2 linked regions of the Oreochromis niloticus genome follow. The protein of the gene in region 2 purifies or fractionates together with the protein of the main gene of each other region. This does not show direct contact. Links are inferred from orthologs where the notes say so. Each region holds a gene or a part of one and is shown on either strand. Other genes may lie near its edges. The genes, in order: atl3 and esyt1a.

Region 1 (9,646 bases), on a different chromosome or scaffold from region 2:
CCACAGCCACCTGCAGCAGCAGAGAGGGAGAAGATACGCCACATGGGGTAAATGTAGGAATCACGTGCTATGACATGTGCTCAGATTTCAGATTTTAGACTGCCTCCAGTTTCGCTCTGAAACCTCATCAAGCTCAGTGCAGTGGCATATGAAGCAGTTCTCCACCAGCTGCTGGTTCAGCTTGCAGCGGTTCAGAGAGCAGAACTACCATCGCAGTTCAACACAGTGGAGTTAGAGGGCATCTGACTGCAAGATAAGAGACTCTGCATGATATTGAGGACCTGGGCAGTGAGCCAGATAGAAGTGAAACATAGAATAAAAAGGTTTTGGACGAGCTAGTTAGCAGTAATAATAATTTACAAATAACACTGAGGGGATCTTTCACAGTAACCTGACCAAATATGGCGATGGTTGAGAAATTAGACATAAAAACATTTCTAAAACAGGTTTGAAATGCGTGTATTAATGAGTTACTGCATCTGAACCACCGTCCAACCTTGCTTTCATTCATTCAACTTTTATACTCATCTGTGATATGACTGAAATACTCTGACACCACACGCAGAAATGAGGAATGCAAGGAATCTAGAAACAAAACATGATTATACAGCTTACGGATGTCTGACCTCTAACCTTGAGGTCAAGGTCATCAAGGGTATAAAAGTCCATCTTAGAGAAGCAGAATTTCTTTAACGCAATTTTTTTTACATTAATAAAATGACAATAAGAAAGTCACCAGATTACCTGTTTTGACAGTTAGGGGGAAAAAAATCCTCCCAGAACAATTGCCTTCAGAAAAAGCAGCTAAAGACGCCTGTAGGCAGATGAACCGCTTGGTCTAAATTTAGAAGATTGCTTCTAAACTTTGCTGGAGGCTAACAGAAACCAGCTCATCTCTTTGTAGCAGTGACACTTGCAGCATGCAGGGATCTGTCCACTGCATTTATAAACCTTTGTTACTTAATCATCACTTTTTAATAATATAAAATACAAACCTACAAAATGTCGTTTATTCCTTTACAGCTAGAGTAATAAAGTAATAAGCACAGACTAAAGGTTAGAGGAAAGGCTGAGACCAGAAATTACTATGGCACTGAAAAACTAAAACAATGAATGAACATCAGCTCAATATTTCAATATGAATTCCATTAGTAAATCTGAGTGCTTACATGTTTACTCTCTTAAAACAAATAATCACACATAAATGTTAGAGTACCTCTTCACCATCGCTCTTTTGGACAAGGAAAACTTCGCTCCACAGCTGGATGCCTGATGTTTCTGGTTCTGACCCTCCTCTCCAAGAAAACCCGGTCAGAGGCTCGTTATCGTTACCCATCCATTTCTCCTCGTCCTAACACAGAAATGCAAACTTCACTTTTAAACCCCCATCACAGCAAAGCCGAGGCCTTCAGGTAAAGCTTCAGTGCTATTCACTCAGCCATACCCTGAATTATGAATGGAGATCCCAATTGTTTTGTATAATTTACATAACAAATAAGTACCCAGTGGAGTGTAAAGTGTTCAGTGACTGAAAGATGTCATAATAGTCATGTTGTGAGGCCAGATGGTGGCACTATGGTAAAAGTAATGAATAAAAGTAATGAAATTAAGAGAGGGCATTCACAGACTCTACTCCTTAGTGGTCATGGCAAAATTCTCATTTACTCCTAGTCAGTAAACTAGTTAGTTCACATGTTAGAGCAGGGAGGGGCACATCTGTCCTCATGCAATCCACACACCAGGACTAATTCTACAGGTTATCACACCTTTAGGACAAAAATCTATCTCTAGCACCCTGCTCTGAAGCTTAGCTTCACACAATGAGAGTCCAGCATCTGATACTGTAAGTGCACTTCAGCTGATCTCTGAAGTGCACTTTAGCTGATCTTACAGAGATATGATGATGAGACACGCTGAAGGATCAGGTTACAGCACGTCTCACCTGTCTGTGCATGTATCGAAGCATGAAGTCGAGCAGAAAGCTCTTCCCCTTCCTGAAGGCTCCGGCCACTGACACCACCACCACGCGTTTGTCTCGGACCTTGGGGTTCAGCAGGATCTGACTCAAAGCATTGAGCTCCAAGGTGAAAGAGTGATCGTCCTTACACACATTGACAATCTGAACTGGGCCTGGTTCGCTCCCCATTATTCTTGATGTTCTGGTCCCTGTGCGAGATCACAAACAAAGAAACACCAAAACAAAATCAACACTAATTATGAATTTTTATAATTGAATGTTTTTCTTTTTTTCTTGAAAAAAAGAAAAAACAAGCATATACTATGCCATTCTTGAACAGTAAATCAGAGCAAAACTCATGAAGCAACAGATGAAATTCACCTACTAACACACTGCCACATGCAATATGGCACGATATACTCCAATATGTTGGGCAATAGATTGGTGCATCTTAGCTGAACATTATTATATAGCAACAATCATACTACTTGGAACATTAAATTGTTCTTAGTATTTCAGAAACTGCTGATGTACTCTGATTTTCCCACATAACCATCTGTAGGGTTTGCAGAAGATGATTTGAAAGATCTTCTGAAAAAGAGAAACTATTCAGTAAGCAGCAATGTGCTTGGTGAAGCTGGAGCAGAAAAACAAGACTGTCTGGAAATGACAGGAAGACATCAGTAATAAGCATTTGTTACGACAAAGGTATGCAGAAGAGCATCTATAAATTTGTCTTGTCGTCCTGCCATCACCCCAACCGGTTGCGGCAGATAAATAGGAAACAGGGGCTACAATTCACACTGGCTCAAGAATCTTGCCGGGGCTGATGATGAGTCTCAATTTCTGCAGCAAAATTTGGATGGAAGGATCAGAATTTGGCATAAACACCAATAAAGCACAGATCCATTATGATTTGAATTAACAGTTCTAGCTGGTGGCAGTGATGTAATGTTGTGGGGGATATCTTCTTGGCATAGTCTGCCCTCCTTAGGGCCAGCTGAGCACTGCTTAAATGCCACAGCCTTCCTGAGTGTTGTTGCTGACCATGCCCATCCCTTTATGACCACAGTGTATGCATCTTCTGATGGCCACCTCCAGCAGGATGATGCAGCATGTCACAATGCTCAAATAATCTCAAAGAAGTTTTCTGAATATGACAATGAGTCCATTATATTCAAATATTTGGCCTCCACACCATATTGAAGCCAACAGAGCACCTTTAGGATGAATCAGGAGATTCGCATTATGGCAGCGGACAAATCTGCAGTAACCGTGTGGTGCCATCATGTCAACATGGACCAAAATCTCTGAGGAATGTTTCGAGCATCTTGATATGCCACGAAGATTTAAGACAGCTCTGGGACCAAAAAGAAGGTCCAACTCAGTAATAAAGTGGTCAGTGAGGGTAGTAATAAACTGATTTTTATATTCTGGGCCTCTGTATGTTTTTGGTTTGTTTTTTAATCTTCTCCTTTTTGCCAGGAAAGTGGTTCAGTTGTCTTTACAAATAAATAATACCTAAACTGCATTAAAGCCTTTCAGCTCTTTGTTGCACTCGTTTTGTAGATTTTGCCCACAAAAACCTGATGTACTGAGTTACAAAATCAGCCAACATATTTGTGCAATGCTGATACAATCCTATGACATTTGTGCTAACAAACTAGAGAAGCTAACGAGAAAATATCGCCTATGTCTGCCTATCACCAGAGAAGAAATCATTCAAAAATTTGTTCAAGTTGGTCACAAGAAAACTATTAGGAAAGCTTCATTCATCATTAGCTGAATGTATGATGACAACAGACATCTCCAGCTTCACTAAGACTTCACTTATGCTTCCTGGGCTTGCTGACAGAAATCAGGCGTGCACTGGTCCCTCCATCAGGGACAATATCAGGCTCTGTGTGAAGCTGACGGAGGGCTCCTCTTATGGGTGTCACGCTGCTTTGCCTGAAGCATGCTTTCCCTGCTACCCCTGATGGTTTCAATACACTCCACTGTCGCTGATTTTGCAGGGTGGATGTCTTTTCCCGCGATGAGTAAGACAGGGAGGTGTCTGGATACAAGCTTATAATACCCAGAAAGCTGCCTGCTTTCGGTTAATGCTCACTACCTCAAAGGTGTGGCGGTGAGGAGCAGCATACCAACCATTTCTCTGCAGTGACTGTGTTCATAAGCCTTGATGCTACCAAGCAGAAAAAAATATGCATTTCAGACCAAATCTGCTTGCACTTTGCAATCTAAAAACGAGATAAACTAAGTGTACGAGACTGATCTGTTATGAAGCTACATGACATTAGCACTGAACTGACAGCTCTGCGAAGAGCACAGCTAACCCGAACTGTACTGACATCGACCTGAACTTCTCCGAAAAGCTAAATAACAAACTACAGCTCACAGTCACTGAGCTAACGTACAAGTTAACGGATGCAGCTAAATTCTTGTGTGGCTACAAGCTTTCAAACACCAGCAAAACGCTGACATACGTTACCGTTGTTAGCTAAAAAAAAGTGTTAAAACATCTAAAACTAGCTTTTAAAAACGCTTCTGCGCTCTTTAGCTCCTGTTTAGTGATTTAATGTTACCTTTGGTGTCTCCAAACAGCTTCGGCACAGTCTTCTGAGAGTCGCCAAACCAGAGAAACGTAACTTTTTACACTGGCATGAAAATAACCATTAGAACTTTTTTCCATCAACAAACTTCCACACACTTCCTGCCTCCAGCCTGCGAAATGCCACAAGGGAAATGTAGTTTTACAACAGGTTTCTCTGCCGGCGCTCCAGTATCTCTATGAACTACACGTCCCAACTAGCCAAATGTCTAACAGCTCTGGGAAATGTAGTTTTTACCGTCAAGTTACGAATACGGAACTACCAGACAGGTAATGTAAAACAGTCCCGGGTGTTTTGCGTTTATACAAATAATAGCCTAAGGATTTGCGCAGAGGAAACTGAACAGACACAGCAGGTTTGCAAAAGGGCTTTGTTTTGTTTTGTTTGGGTTGTTTTTCATTGTCACATATGTGTGTCTGCGTTAAGTAAGCCGTGGCTGTTGCGCCCTCTCCCGGTGCAGCCAATCACTGTCTATAAAGCCACCAGGTAAAACTCATCACACAGAGACACCCAAACATATCCAGCAGCATTTTAAAGCAAACCTGAAGCCGATAGACTCAGAAAATTAACATTTAAAGCTAACAAGATTATTATTTTTAAACAAACAGTCAAACTAACTAGAGAAGAAACAAAAAACAACCACAATGACATACAGATGGAAACGTTCCTTCCTCGTACCTGTAGTTACTTTGTTTTTTACTTGCCAAGCAGCCTACTGATTTATAATCACATTTGTATTTACTGGGCTCTTTTATTTTATTTCTCCTTTTTATTCTATTTATGGATTTTTTTTTAGCTATAAACCCATAACCCATTTGGGCTTTAAACAATGTAAAATGTGGACTAATAGACCCTTTATGTTATAATTTTCAGTTAAAAACAAATATTAAACCTTAAAGAAATTCGATTTGTACAGTTCAGGCATCAAAAGTGTTTCAGTCGTGGATGCTTGGTGCATCTCACTAATATCCCAGAACCTAAAAAAGTAGACAATTTAATTAGCATACTTCATTACTAAATACTTATTCAGTTTCCAATAAAACCTCATTTATATCAATTTAAGAAAATTTGGAATTCTACCTTTTCAAGAGTCACAACTCTTTGCTCAAATACAATCTTTTATATAATAATTCAAACTATTACAAAGGCAATAGTGGTAGTATTAGTGTTTTCTCAGGAAAAAAACTGATGGGATGTAATGGACTGAAAGTCAAGGATAAACGTAGTTTTTAAAAATTAAGGAACCTTTCATTTGTCCTCTTCTGGTAAATTGGGTAACACGGTTGCATTAGTTACAGTGACACATTCTATATAATCAGAAAAGTCAAGAAAAATGCAAATATGTCAAAGAGAACTGACCTTTGGTCTACCCATGATGTTCATGCCACTTCCTCTTTACCATGCCAGCTCACTGTTTTATCTCTTCCATTTCTAGGCTACATAAGTTTCGGTCACAGGATGGCACATATGTTGTGAGACATAACTTGCAGTTCATAATTACTGTTCTTTAAAATATGTTGATCTTGAAGATAGCTAAATAATTGTAAGCGTAAACAAAATATTGAAACAGTTATATACGACATGTAATTTGGTTATCAAGAAGTTGGGCCAAAAGATAAATGTCCTTTTTTGAGGAGTTGAAATAATATTTTGGAACAACTTTTTCAACAACTGGGTCCGCATTTTGTCTCAGGTGCACACAACAAATGTATGTTTAGTATTTTGTGCATGGACTATTTTCAAATTCATGGCTGGAAAAGAAAATGTCCCATAATTGTAGAATAGTTCTTAAGCTATTTTGGGGCAAGTGCCTGATGGTCAGGCGTTAGCCCACAGAGCTACATGTCCACCACTCACATGAAGACATGTAGGGGTCCAGTGCGGTATACAGAGGGACCGGTGCACATATTAAAACTGTGAATGCACTGGCTGCACAAAATGTTTTATTTGTCCTGTACAAATCTATTCTGAATTTCTTAAATCATAACTTTGACATTATCATTAAAAACTTATTTAACCAAATCAAACTAAACCAAACCAAGCAAACTCACTGAAGCGGAAAACAAACATTAAAAACAAAATAAAACCAAAACTATAACAACCGATGCACAGCTCAGAAGAACGGCATCACAGATTTTATTTATTAGATTACAAAACCCAAAACTGTTGTAAATACATACAATTTATGAAGAGAATTTCAGTGTAACCGACATGTAAAGTGGTTAAAATGGCAGTGAGTCAATCAAACTGTTCCTGATTGAAGACATCGTGCAAATAAAATAAACTCAAGCAAAGATAATCTTGAAAATAATGGACATTAAAAACCATTAGAAATAAAATTTGAAGTACTTATTATAACTGAGAAGTGCTTCCCTGTACTTCTTAAGTACAATCTAAAATCATAGCTACATTATAAATAATTTTTTTTATCTGTTTTCTTCAACTATCAAAGCAACAGTGTTGCTGAAAACAACAAAGACTGTCAACTACAGTTTACTTTGAATGTCCTACAGAAACTTTCTTAGAAAGAAAAGACGGTCACCGCTTAGAACAAGTGAAAGAGGGTAACACATATTCATATTTTACTGGTAACGATGTGGAAGTGAGTCAATGTGCTGTTCGCTGTACATTAAACGTGAACATTTCAACAGCGTGTTAGTCACCCCTGAAAATGGGAAACTTCTCAGTCGAGAAACAGCACTCTGTATTGAGCTTGAAGCACTCCTTCCACCCCTGAGAACGATGTTAACATGTTAGAAAATCACTGTGGAATCACTTAATTTTTAATACTTTTGTCTCAGTTCTACACCTTGAAGGCTCTGTTCAGGCTGGATGGGATGCTATGGTGATATATTCAGCTTGTGTACTGGAAGCCTGAAATTATGTGGAACGATACTCCATCAGTTAATTTGATCTATACTGTAACATCACTACAGGGCAGTAAACAGGCTATAGGGCAGTGTTGTCGTACCAGGAGGGTTTCTTTGAGGATCTGAACTAATATCCACCGCCTGCGAGGTCCAGCAGTGACCCGGCGGCCTCCTGGGCCTCGGCATCAAGCTGCAGGATCTCCACGGTCTCCAGGTCGAGCTCGGTGTCGTCCGGCAGCACAAGGTACTGGTACTGCTGAGACTCGTAATAGTGCAGCTCGATGTAACCGCTGTCAGACAGGGGGTCCTTCTCCATGTCTTCGCACACCTCCTCCTGCTGGTATTCCACAGACTCCATGGTGACGAGCTCCTCATGATCCGGGGTCAGAAGGCACAGCGGGTTTTCGGCTAAAATCGGACTATCGGCGGTGGACAGGAGGAGGGTGTGAGAAAGGGGATCTGCATGAGAAAGACAACATTAACATTAATAACCCATCTTCCTGCAGCTTGGCTGAACAACCACTTGTGGGATTCTTTAGCGAGGACGTGGGCCCGTGTGGCAAAGAGGCTTGGAAATAAAACGGAGGGGGTGGGGTGGGGGCACTCATAAAAAGCCAGGCTATTGCCGGGTTGCCAAGGTAATGGAAGGCAGTTTCCATGAGAACAGAACACAAACACAGGAACAATGATGCATGCTGGGAAAGCTGCAAAACTACAGACAAGCTGCAGGTGATAAAAGTGTCACAGAGGGCTGTTACTCCGCCGATAAAACGACTGAAACAATTTCATACCGGGTCCAGTATGTAGGTCCTGACCTGATATTTCCATCGAATCACACTCAGCAGGCATCTTGTAGCTTTCTCCCTCCAACCTGCGCACAACACACATCACAGCAAGAGAGACATTAAAATTATTTAGAAACACTCCTTCACTATTCACATATTAGATTTTACTGATGTGGTGGGTAAGCAGAGAAATATACTGTGTTAAAAGAAAAATAGCATGTAGGACGACAGCTATGGATGATATTTCATCCTACTTCTGCAATATATCAGTGAATATGTTTGCTTATTTTAAAAAAAAGGCAAAAGATAGTGAAGGAATACCCAAATATTCAGTTTAATAAAGTCAGCATTTTGCATCACCTTCAGTTGCAATGACGTGGAGACCAGAGGAGTTGAGAAAGGTTTAACCTGGGACCATCGTCACTCGAAGTCACTGAATGTCACTGACTTCTCTGGAAACCACATTGCTGCGAGTCACTTCCTGTGTGGAAGCCCCTTAATGTTTCACCAGCACCGCGTTAAAAACTTACTTAGAAAGGCAGCAAAACCTTAAGAGAGGTCGATGCCTGTAAATGTTTGCATATTTTTCTTTTTAAAACTGAAGATCCTTTACACATCAACTACCGTATTGTGCAAAAATATTGAGCCACCCTCAAATCTTTATTTTGCTTCCATGTAACCGAATTTACTGTAATTTTTAAAATTAGTCCTGTCCAATAGTTCCCTCAGCTTTCTGAACGTCTTTCAAAGTTTTTCTTCGGACGTTGGCTGCCTTTTCAGTCACTCACACTCCAGGTTTTGTACCTGACCATTTTCAGAAGAATTTTTACGTTGACCTATGAATCATTCAAGCCTTAAAAAGTACCCATATTTCCATGTATGTCTGCACATATTCCAATAAATCTCTGTCTCTATTTCCCCATTTTCAGAGTAAAATATAAAGAAAAGAGGGGTGACTCATTTCTTGTTGAACAATTTGGATTTTCTGGCCGTTCCTTAGCATGGGGCGCTAAAGCTAGTTTTTACAAATCCCTATTGCAGATACTCACAGTGCAGGCTTGTGTAACAGGTTGCTGTTGTTGCTGTGATAACTGTGGGTCTTCCTGAGCACTTCGAGGAGCGCTGGCCGGTACTCTGGACACACACACCACAGCGATCCCTTCCCCACTGACTGCAACAAACAAACAAATCCATGTAACAGATGCTAGTTTTCAAAAACACAGCACAAGTCATTTTCGGGAGTTGTAACCAATGTTTTGAATTCAGACCATCTGGATTCAATGAGGAGTTCACTCAGATCAATGAGTTTGGTGTTGTTCTGTTATTTAAGCACCCACCTGGCTCTTGTCTCTCTGAATGCGTCGGAAGCTCTTGCTCAGAGACAGATTGTGTCTGACAGAGTTCCTCCAGCCACCCGTTGCC
Region 2 (10,388 bases):
TGATTCTTCTCGTACCTGGACTCCTTTTACTCCAGCTTTGCAAAAGTACTTTTTGATTTCAACATTGATCTCAACATCACCGGCATAGCTGTAACAGAAGGGAAGCGACAGATCTAAAGATAAGTGTTTAAACAAAGGAAACAGCTTGTGTGAGTTATGACAGAGCTGTTTTCTTTCTGTATTAAGTAAACACTGTTCTGTTGTTCAAGACAGGGCCAAGCCCTTGCAGGAAGCTTTAGAACACTTACAAGAACATTTTAGAGTTTGACTTGACCAACCTATTTGGGCAGATAGACAGAGGTATAACATATGAAATTAATCTCTGATGTGTTGGATTACCTTAAGTACAAATCCAACATAACTTGTCTCTTATCATTTTCCGTATGAGCCTTTACGCCAGCCACCTTCAGCGCCTGTGAACACAGCAGCTGCTATTAAGCAAACAAGACTGACAGAGACTTGATGACACCACATTAGCAGAAAAAGTCAACTGTAATAAACTGAAATTGCTGTGTGTGTGGGTGTGTGTGACAGGCCGCTCAGATACCTTGTCGCCTATGTTAACCTTGGTGAAGCTCAGAGTCTGCAGATGAATGCTAGAAGTACGGATGGCAGGAGCAACGATTTCCACAAGTAACTTCTCCAGATACTGGCCAATAAAGGGCCAAGCCTGCTGCAGGATCTGTAGAACACAACATATGGCCACTGGTAAGGTTTTTATGTTTGAATAAGGAAAAGAGAAGCTACCTCTACAAGAGCAGTATGAGACTGCACACCTCCACTGAGGAAAACAAAGCTCCCTTCATACCACACACTAATTGAAGATTGCATACAGAGAAGGACGTCAAGATTAAGATTATTTTATATTTTCCTAACAAGACATCAAACAATGTTTCCCATTTTTACATTTCTTCACATTTCTGTCCGATATGTATTTATGTAGACATTATGCAAAATTTCCAATTATGAAAACACATTTCTAGATCGAGATCACATCTACATTTAATCGAGCTCCACCTCTGCTAACAAACAGACAAACCACACCAATTGCACAACCTCCTTGTTAATCAGATTAGAATGCAATCCATATCAATGTAACAAGTTCAAGTGAGGATATGGGTTGCATTCTAATTTTATTAACTCTGTCAGAGAGGTTATGTAATTGGTTTGGTTTGTCTGTTCATAAAATAATTTCAAAGAAAATTGATGGAAGTAAAAAATGAGAAAAAAGTCTATTCCAGCTGTCATGGGACAAGAGGTAGACTAGAGAGAGAGAGAACCCGTGCAGACATGGGGAGAACATGCAAACTCCAAGTATTTACATCCAGGACTTGCTTATTGAGAGCCACCCAAGTGTTAAGGAAATAATTCATAAATTATTGTTCTGTAGACTAAAACCTTAGTGCAGTAAATTGAATTTAATATATTTACAGGGAGTCTGTGTGATGCCTTACTTTCACCAGTCTTATCAGTCCACAGAGCATCACACTGGTGTTATCTTCAGCATTTCAGTGAGAGAAGTGCAGCAGTGGTGCCAAATCCTTTTAGCTACAGTTTACCAATCCTCTGACCTCTACACTGTGACTACACTGTCACTAGTCATTACTAACATTTTGCAGCTCACCTGTGCATTATTTATGTTACACTCATGCACATGCTTATAACAGTGCAACCCCGTACGTTGTTTTTCATATGCACATGCAATACTTTTTAAAAGTTCACACATGCAACAAAAGGTGAGAACATTTTGAGGCTCCCTCGACTTGTTTACAGCTGGAAGTGAGGTGCTAGGTCATGTGTCAGGAAACCTGCAGGCGAGACGTGGGCAGGGTGACAGATGAGTCCAGCAAATTGCTATCCCACAGTCTGGGCTTCTGTCATCGAGTTCATTGTATTTTTTCCCCCTCCAAATGGGTGTTTTGTATTATTAGTATTCACATCCACGCTTTCTCTGTGCCTACGTGAAGCTGCTGCACTGACAGAGACAAAGAAGCTGCGATATGATCCCGGCCACTCTCACTGCCTCTTAATCACACCAGCAGATTATCTGCACTGATGGAGAGCCTGCAACTGGAGCCGGGTCCCTTAAAGTCCACACAAGCGCTCTTTATCTTAATATTAAATTGGAGACACTGAAGCTAATATACAAGTTAATCAAGTGAATCGTGAACGCCTTATCTTCAGTTTGGGCTTTTTGCAGCTTCCTTTGCTTTGCTAAGACATCAAATGAAGAAATTATGCAAAGAGTTGCATGCTGAACCAGATGTTTCAAAAAATATGAATTTCTCATAGAAATCTATACCATTGCACACATGCAAAGTTATGCAGGAAATAAAAAAAACATACCTTATTGACCCACTCAACTTTTTCCACATCTGGAAAGTTGACCTGTGAACAATAGTGTAAATAAAATATTATTGTTTTTGTTTACTTTTTTATTTGAACATAAATTGATTAAAAAAAAGAGTTTAATCTCAATGCACTTATTTGTTACGTCATCTTATTTCTACTAAAAGTATATACATTTATGTTAACGCTAAAAGAGATGAAAAACAAGTAACACTAATATTGTCACTAAAAATATTTCAGGAAACCATAAACCGCATGATGCACATTTAACATCACAAGGACACACACACAGACACACACACAGACACACACACACAGACACACACACACACACCCTCCGGCTCTCTTTCCAGATATGGTGGTCTTTGCTTCTGCTGTGAATGTTGTTTATGACTCATCAGGTTTTTTAGGAGCCAGATAAGGTCAACAGTAGTGAAACGGGAAGAGGAAAGCCCTCGGATAATTTCTCATACCACTGGATGAAATGACTTGTTCACTAGAATCACAGATTGCTGTTTCACAAGTTCCTCTAAAGCTCACTGCCAGGCTTCCACCTTTCTACTACAAAGTCATCATCATGACATGTTAGTTCACATTCTGTGAGAAGGCAGCAGTTCAGACTAATGCGCATATCAACATTATCAACTATCGCTTCTATTCGTGAGAGTGCCGTGAAGTAAAAGTCGACCTGACTTTGTGTTTTCACTTGAAGAACTATAAAAATGAATAATATTGCCACAAGTATCAGCCTGACATTTGTGGCAGATGTGGCGTGTGATGCACTCCGCAGAGAATGACCATAACAGAAGGGGTGTCAGTACTCACCCAGGGAGGCAAATCTCTTTTGGCTCTGAAAACCGTTTGAGTGGTGAATTCCTTCTCGTTCTCCAGGAGGTACATGGCAGACTTGAGCCTCATCACTTTCCCTTGTCGCCCGTGTTTCCATCCCATGTAGATCACCAGACCGAACAGAACAATGGTGACGCTGAAGCCATAATATCCGGCCAGGTACACTGGTAGCAGAGCACCCAGGCATTTCCCAAACGACCACAGCACACTCACTGCGCGTTCACCCTGGGGTTGGTTCTCTGAGACCGGGGCTAGAGGCTCCGTGCCGATGCTCGGCTCTGCATCCGCGGTTGGCATGGCAAGATCAGACTTCACTAGCTCGATCTGGTCTTCAGCTTTTCGGCTTCTTCTTCTTGAGTGGCAAGGGATAGGGGTCAACTCACTGCCGTTTCACCGCGATAACCATGGACAGGTCGGCGATAATCGGCGAGCGTCGGACTGTCACTTCATTGTCACTTTTCTTCGACGTGCACCGCGCAGTTCCGCAGGGCACTGAGGGTTATTCGTCTTGCATTTACGTGTAAAGCTCCTGAGAAGGCAGTGCAAGCACGAAGTAAGTCTCGAGAGGGCGGGCTTGGCTTCAAGCCCTCCTTCACATCCAGTAGAAACCCATACCCTAGAATTTACTTGTAGCGTCATACACTGCTCAGGCGGAGCGTATTACCGATAAGCGAACGAATGTTTATCATGTAGAAAGACACCACGGAACACTTTTGATTCACAGTAGCAGTTTATCCAAACGACACACTACAACCAGAGCAGAGTAGTACGTCTAATGCACAGGCTGCTCACCCCGTTATCTTTCTTTGCATGACCGAAATAAATCCTCCTGTTCGCGCAAGCGCCCATCCCCACTGCAGTATGCAGCAGCAGCTTTAACAGATGATCATGAAGGCACCAACAACTGATAAACATGTGCTCAGTTCCTTTATCGACAGGTCTGTATCAGCTGCAGGTGTTGTTTTTTTGTTTTTTGTTTTTTTTACAAGATTGGGTCCAGTAGGCACAGTCGTGACACCTCCGGGATCTGCGCCATCTGACTCTGGCGTAATAATTACGCACCTGTTAAAAACAAACAAATAATAATAATAACAACTAATGGTGAATTTGTCATGTCATGTGTCTTTCCACTCCCACTCCCTTTTTTTCTTAATAGCTTCATTTATGGCTAGAAAAACAGGCCAGGTTTTAAATACCCCCCTGTTGCCTTGGATACAGGCAGTTATCAGTATTTGCTTGGAGGGATACGGGTTTGATGATCCTTTGTGTACATAGACAGGAAGAACACACTGTCAATAAACAGCCAAGTCCTATAAAGTAACAAAATTTCACTGTGAGAGCCCACGAAATGCGGAGATCATGTTTTATGAAGCTTGTTATTCTCAGAATTTGAAGGGTTTTATTAGAGCCACAATTTCTGTTCTTATAACCGCCACAAACCACAAACCCATCTTTATCGCTTACATTCGATTTTGGCATGTTATAGCTTGATATTTAGACCCTATTTGCCTCCTCCCCCCCAAAGATTTTTATTTTTCTAAACACAAAACACAAATTCAGAGTGTCAAAGTGCAAAATAGTTCCAGACTTCTTTTTTTTTAATTGCTCAACTCTAGTGTTGAATATAGAGCAGCGTGCATTGCATACTCTGGAATAATAGAGCAATGTTCAACGAACACATACAACATTCTTTTCTCCATGTGTATTTAGGAGTGTTTATTTCATGTTTTAGGCCTGTTTATTTACTTATTATATACAGTGTATTAAAATGTACCGCTAAGTGAAATGTATACGTGAATTTGCTGATCTAAACGCAGTCAATCACAAAGTGAAACAGCCATTAACAGTATATTTGAGCCATCCGTGAACTATGTTATTTGTTTCAAACAGTGTTTCTTATGTTCACAGCTGAATGTAAAAATCATCAAAATGTCCTCAAGTCGTCCCCACAAAAAGGAACCAAACACATTAAAGAAAACAAGTGCTTGATTGCATCTCATAACCTAAGATAAAAAACCAAAAAGTGCTCTGTAGCTCTACAGCAGAAGCAGAAATAGTGGTCACAGGGTGATGAGTGATCTGTGAGGAAATGATGTGGGCAGAGAAATGCAAGAAGTGTCAAAGTTAAAGCACACATGTCATCTGATCGTCTGTCTGGCTTTGCCAAGTACTTATCAACGTTGGTTTACCTACCAGCGTGAGAGCAGACATGTTGCATGTTGTTGTTCAAGTAATATTCAAGCTTGTGTAATCAATATTTTCCCCTATACAGGAAATTTCACAATTACAGAAGATGCCGTTTATTTTTTAAGGTCATTATCTTTAATAATAATTTGTGGATTGGTCAAGAAATATTTTAGGAATCTTTAATGAGGATACTGCACATACATGTCTTATCTTCTTGATTTAGTTGTTAAAAGAATGAAAACTGCATGTTCTCTTCCCACAACCTCACTAAATATGTTCATTTCACTGCCATGTCTTCAGTTCTTTCCTCCTCCTGGGGGCAAACCTTGATTCTCTATTATGAGCCGAGTGGTTTCTGTCATATTTTAGATCTGTTACAAACAAAATGAGTGAGTGTGCATCAGAAGTGAGAGTGCTTATACAGCTACTGGGGCTACCTCTGGACAAACTCAGAACAAAGCTCATCAATATGGTCGTCAAATCTCGTCTTTATTGGGGGAAAGAGCTTTACCTCCCTACAATTTTGTGATCAGGACTGTAAGCAGTGAGTGCTTCTCCAGTTACATTTACTACACACTATTGTCCTTTGCGTTCTCCAGCAATGGCCTCATTATACGTCACCTTGTAGCCAAGGAGAGAATGAATTAGTGGACCGGCTTCAAGGGTAAAAACATTACAGACATATTTCACAAGTTTGTCCTTTGAGTCAGCTTTGTCCAAAGGTTAAAACATTCACACACCCACTTAAATCATGGTTTATGGACAGCATCTAAAATGATTTACTTTCTATTTTAATTATCTGTAGCTTTGCATTACAGGCCTGTCTGTAAGCAAGTCAGGTCCCTAGATATGCACCTGCCACATGATCTGAACTGCAAAACTGAGAAGTCATTCTAGAAGCACGGCCTATTCATCTTGAAACAACCCCAGGCACGTATTTCAGTGGCCACCGGGTAAAAATTGCATGTACAGAAACACGTGTCACATCTTTTAAAAAGCCCTTCAGAGTTTTTGTTTAAAATCTATTTTGCTTAAAAAAGGTTTTAAAAAACTTTCCCCCCTCTGAGTTGTACTTCTATCCCCATCTTTGCTGTTGCAAAATCTTCCATACATTTCCATTCAGCATTCTGAGCGCCACCTCTCGTATGTCATAGCTTTACAACCGCTAAGTGAGGATGTTAATATCTAACTGAATGGGACTTATTTTTGTCAGTCTTACTCATGAAAATTAATTAGAGGAGATAAAATTCAAATATCCATGGTAGATCAGCTGTCTTGTCATTCATAGACAGTACATATATACAGGATCCTCAGGTTTTAAAGAGTGATGACACAGACATATTTAATGTACATTTACACAACTTTACAAAGAAATTTTAATTTTCCATAAATTTGCCCAAGCACTAGAAAAATCCCACCACTTTCTATATAAGACTTCTTTTTACCTATATTATCTTAACCCCCAACATTCTCATATGGTTAAGTTTAGGCTGGATTTTAGCTACAAGCTCAATTTTTTTCTTTAGAAAATGTTCTCACAGTTTGAAGGTTTCTATTTGGCAAAATCTAATAAGGAAAATGTCTATATAAAAGGGGGGTAGATGTGAACCTAACACACTTCATTCCCACCCTTAAGCCGGTCCCAAACCCTAAAATGCACAAGCAATGCTCCAAAGTATGAAACATTAGTAAGGCGGTGATCTTGTATTAAGATGGCTTGCCATACTGTACTCGAGTACTACAGGTTGATCAGTCGGTGCAGTTTGTAGGTTTACTGACTTAGTTCGAGACCCTTTGAAAAGATTGCTTAAATATAAAGAAAGAACATTATTCAAGTCTTCTTTTTTAACCAAAACCTTTAATCACAGTATAAACAAAAACATATGACAAAAGCTGAGGAGTTGAGAACAAAGAGTTCAGAATGTCCCAGAGGAAAAGCCGTCGTCCAGCAGATGTTCGATCACAGCTCCAAGCGTGAGCCAGCAGCTGCTGCCTCTGGTAGAAGTGGATGCTCCAGGTCTCAGACTTGACTTGGGAGGGTCCTGGGTCTCCAGCTGTGCTCACCGGTCCCGTTGTTGTTGTCGGCGGCATGTGACGTCACAGCCATGGCGGAGAGCACAGTTCACTTGGACCTCTGCCTCATCTTTCTCCTTTTGCGCTTCAGCCTGTACAGAAGTCGTCACAAAGTTCAGTCACACTTCAGGTGTTATAAAAAAATAAAAATTTTAAAAGGGTGTGAATGCAAAAGGGATTACTGTACGGCTATAAAAACGGACTCTTACCTGCGCATGCGCTTCTTTCGCCACTACGGAAAAGAGACAATGTTCAATTAGTAACACTTTTATAGAAATTGGCAAAAATATTTCATTATGGACTGCAGCTGCCAACATCTGTTTAAGAATGACTTTAAATTCTGATGGCTGTGCTAGCCCGTCAAACTGCACAAGCTTGCTGACTAGCTAACAAATGTAGCCCCGCTGGAAACTGTATTTATCTCATGACAGAGACACAAAACACCAACCTTAGCTCTCATGTCGACGTGGGAATGCTGCAAACAGAAAGAAAATGTTACGGATACGTTCGATTGACTTAATATTAAGACGATTAACTTGGATTCTTACACCAACGATTCCCACTCACCGATCGCTACGGAATCGTCTCCACGAAGGACGTCATAACGTTGAGACGTCCCATTTATATGGCCTCCTACGTCATTATCAATGGACGCCAGCGAAACATGGGAAATTGAGTTTTCAAGGTGGCAAGGATCATAAAATTAGTGGGTTATTGGACCATTTATTTTTAAATAATACTTACACAGCGCGCATGTGCGAGAGATCGCATCAAATCTTACTTATAATAGACTCACTCCCACCTCTGCACCCGTCCACGATATTCCTACATTTAAACTTTGCCACTGAACGTACCTTCCCCCTTTTCTCCTCAGTCTTTCCCAACAGTAGCATATTTTCCACCTACAACCTGCTAGTTTATTGCACTGGTAGGCATCATTGGAAAACCTTGCTTTGGTTGATCCAGTATGGAGATCTCATTCTTGAGGATTTTTGATTTTTATGTGCTGTCACAGGAAGGTTTGATCTTTCTCCTGTAGATAGATCAATATAGATGGATCTGTATCTGCTCCTTTGTACATGGAGGAACAGGTGTACTGCCAGATCCCTTCAAAATGACCTCCAGTGGCTATTTACACCGGTCAAAAGTTTTAGGACACCCCAATTTTTCCATTTTTTAGTAGAAAATTATGGAGTTTAATGTCTCATTGCACTCTGAAATTAAAGCATAGCACAAATAAGCAACTGGAGTGAGAAACGATATCATGGAATCAATTTATAGACCAAAGTGTATTCTAAACGTTTGACTCATCAAAGTAGCCACCTTTGGCAGATATAACAGCTGAACACGCCCGCAAAAGCTCCCATAAATGTGTTCAGTTCATCCCAAATCAGCTCGATAAGATGCCAATGACGCAAGCTGTTAACTCTCAGAAACTTGTCCTCTGATTCATTTGGGGTTTGGGGTTTGCCAGACCTCTTCCTCTGTCAGTTTGCCCCAGTTTCTGAGTGGCTTTTGATGGTAAAGGAAACTGTACTCACGCACACCTTTACTTTCTTTGCAATTTCTCTGCAGGAAAGACCTACATTTTTAAGTGTTATGATGGTCTGTCGCTCTTCCATTGTTAATTGCCTTTTTCCTCACCATTTCTGTAGCAACACACTAATTTCAGCAGTACAATACTGTTCAACTGATGCTCACAGAGTTTTATGCAGAGGGGGTTTTGTAAGTAATCCAGGAAAGTTGGAACCCCTGCAGGAATTAGTAGCATCAGCTTTCAAGGCTTGATCAACCTCCATTGCTGCAGAACAGCTTTAAATTGTTATCCCATTTTGCATTACCTGAAAAAGGCCTTTTTGTATAATTCTGAAATGTACATTTTCAATTTCGGGTAACATTACCCTTTTTTAACCTCTGGCAGTTCACCACTTACCTTTGTACCATTTTAAGCTATCACCGGACTTGAACGACTTGAATTGCAATAAATAACTGGAGGGTGGGGTGTTCTTTTGACCGGTAGTGTGTGTATACTCCATGAAGAGGCATGGGGGTCCTGTGACCACACCCCAGCACTATGGAGTCACCAGAACTGGCAGGTCCACCAATAATGCCCGTTCACTTCACATATGAAACACTGAGCATGTGTGACAGGCATGAAAGAGTCTGCCTGCAACATCATTCAGCATGACCAGTTTGGTAGAGGGTCAGAGGGTGATAGAGTGAAAAGGTATCTTTGGATGGTCGCACAAACCTACACATGCTAACCTATACCAAAGCCAGACTTCTGTTGCTCCAGTCGCAGTAAGCCTCCTGGTATAGGGTAAAACCCAGCCTCACATGAACAGAGGCACAGTTCTTGGATGACAAACTCACTGGAAGATCACATATTCAGATCCAAGTCTAGGATATAAGGCCCAGGACACCATCTGCTGTCTCAAGTGGAGCATGTCTCGGTGTTAACAGAGTGCACACAGGCACATGGGGCCACACACACTACTGAGCATCATTATGATGCAGGAATGACTTTGAAACCCTCAAAGGGTTAAAGATTTTCTAAACAAATTACACTATACCAGTAAAGATATTCAGCTTGTATACTCGATCCATCAAAATCAAATGTGATTAAATTGTTCCCTCGACTTTTCTATGCAACTACTGTGAACCAAACCCAAGATCTATCAAACATGTGGGCATAACTTAATCCTGATCCTCCAGCATGGCCAGTGGCTCGTGTCCCAACTCTCTGGGATCAGACCCTCGATAAATAAGATGGAATAATGAGCAGAACAACTCAGAACGGTTGTCCATTCACCTTTTTAAAATGTAAAAACACTCTTTTATTCATGAATACACCAAAGCAGAATGCACACAAATGATGTCAGGTGGTTTTTTAATGTTTCCAAAAATAGTCTCTAAAAGTGGGATTTGTT

What was found.
Region 1: the proteins of esyt1a (region 2) and atl3 purify together in Homo sapiens (affinity purification with mass spectrometry; 3 studies listed by BioGRID and IntAct, with this or other methods). This does not show direct contact. The link is inferred for Oreochromis niloticus from reciprocal best matches to the Homo sapiens genes ESYT1 and ATL3.

Annotation. Positions count from the first base shown.
Region 1 is NC_031966.2:20,297,038-20,306,683, reverse strand, and holds the start of atl3 (atlastin-3), read right to left. Parts: upstream 4,704-9,646; 5' UTR 4,543-4,703; intron 2,167-4,542; 5' UTR 2,147-2,166; coding exon 1,943-2,146; intron 1,352-1,942; coding exon 1,217-1,351; intron 11-1,216; coding exon 1-10. Other genes in the region: si:ch211-145o7.3 (forkhead box protein N2), read right to left, coding at 7,567-7,898, 8,231-8,310, 9,274-9,395, 9,562-9,646. UniProt on the Homo sapiens protein: Atlastin-3 (ATL3) is a membrane-anchored GTPase that mediates the GTP-dependent fusion of endoplasmic reticulum (ER) membranes, maintaining the continuous ER network. It facilitates the formation of three-way junctions where ER tubules intersect.
Region 2 is NC_031984.2:19,574,605-19,584,992, forward strand, and holds the start of esyt1a (extended synaptotagmin-1), read right to left. Parts: upstream 4,126-10,388; 5' UTR 3,496-4,125; coding exon 3,175-3,495; intron 2,389-3,174; coding exon 2,347-2,388; intron 683-2,346; coding exon 548-682; intron 414-547; coding exon 340-413; intron 89-339; coding exon 16-88; intron 1-15. UniProt on the Homo sapiens protein: Binds calcium (via the C2 domains) and translocates to sites of contact between the endoplasmic reticulum and the cell membrane in response to increased cytosolic calcium levels.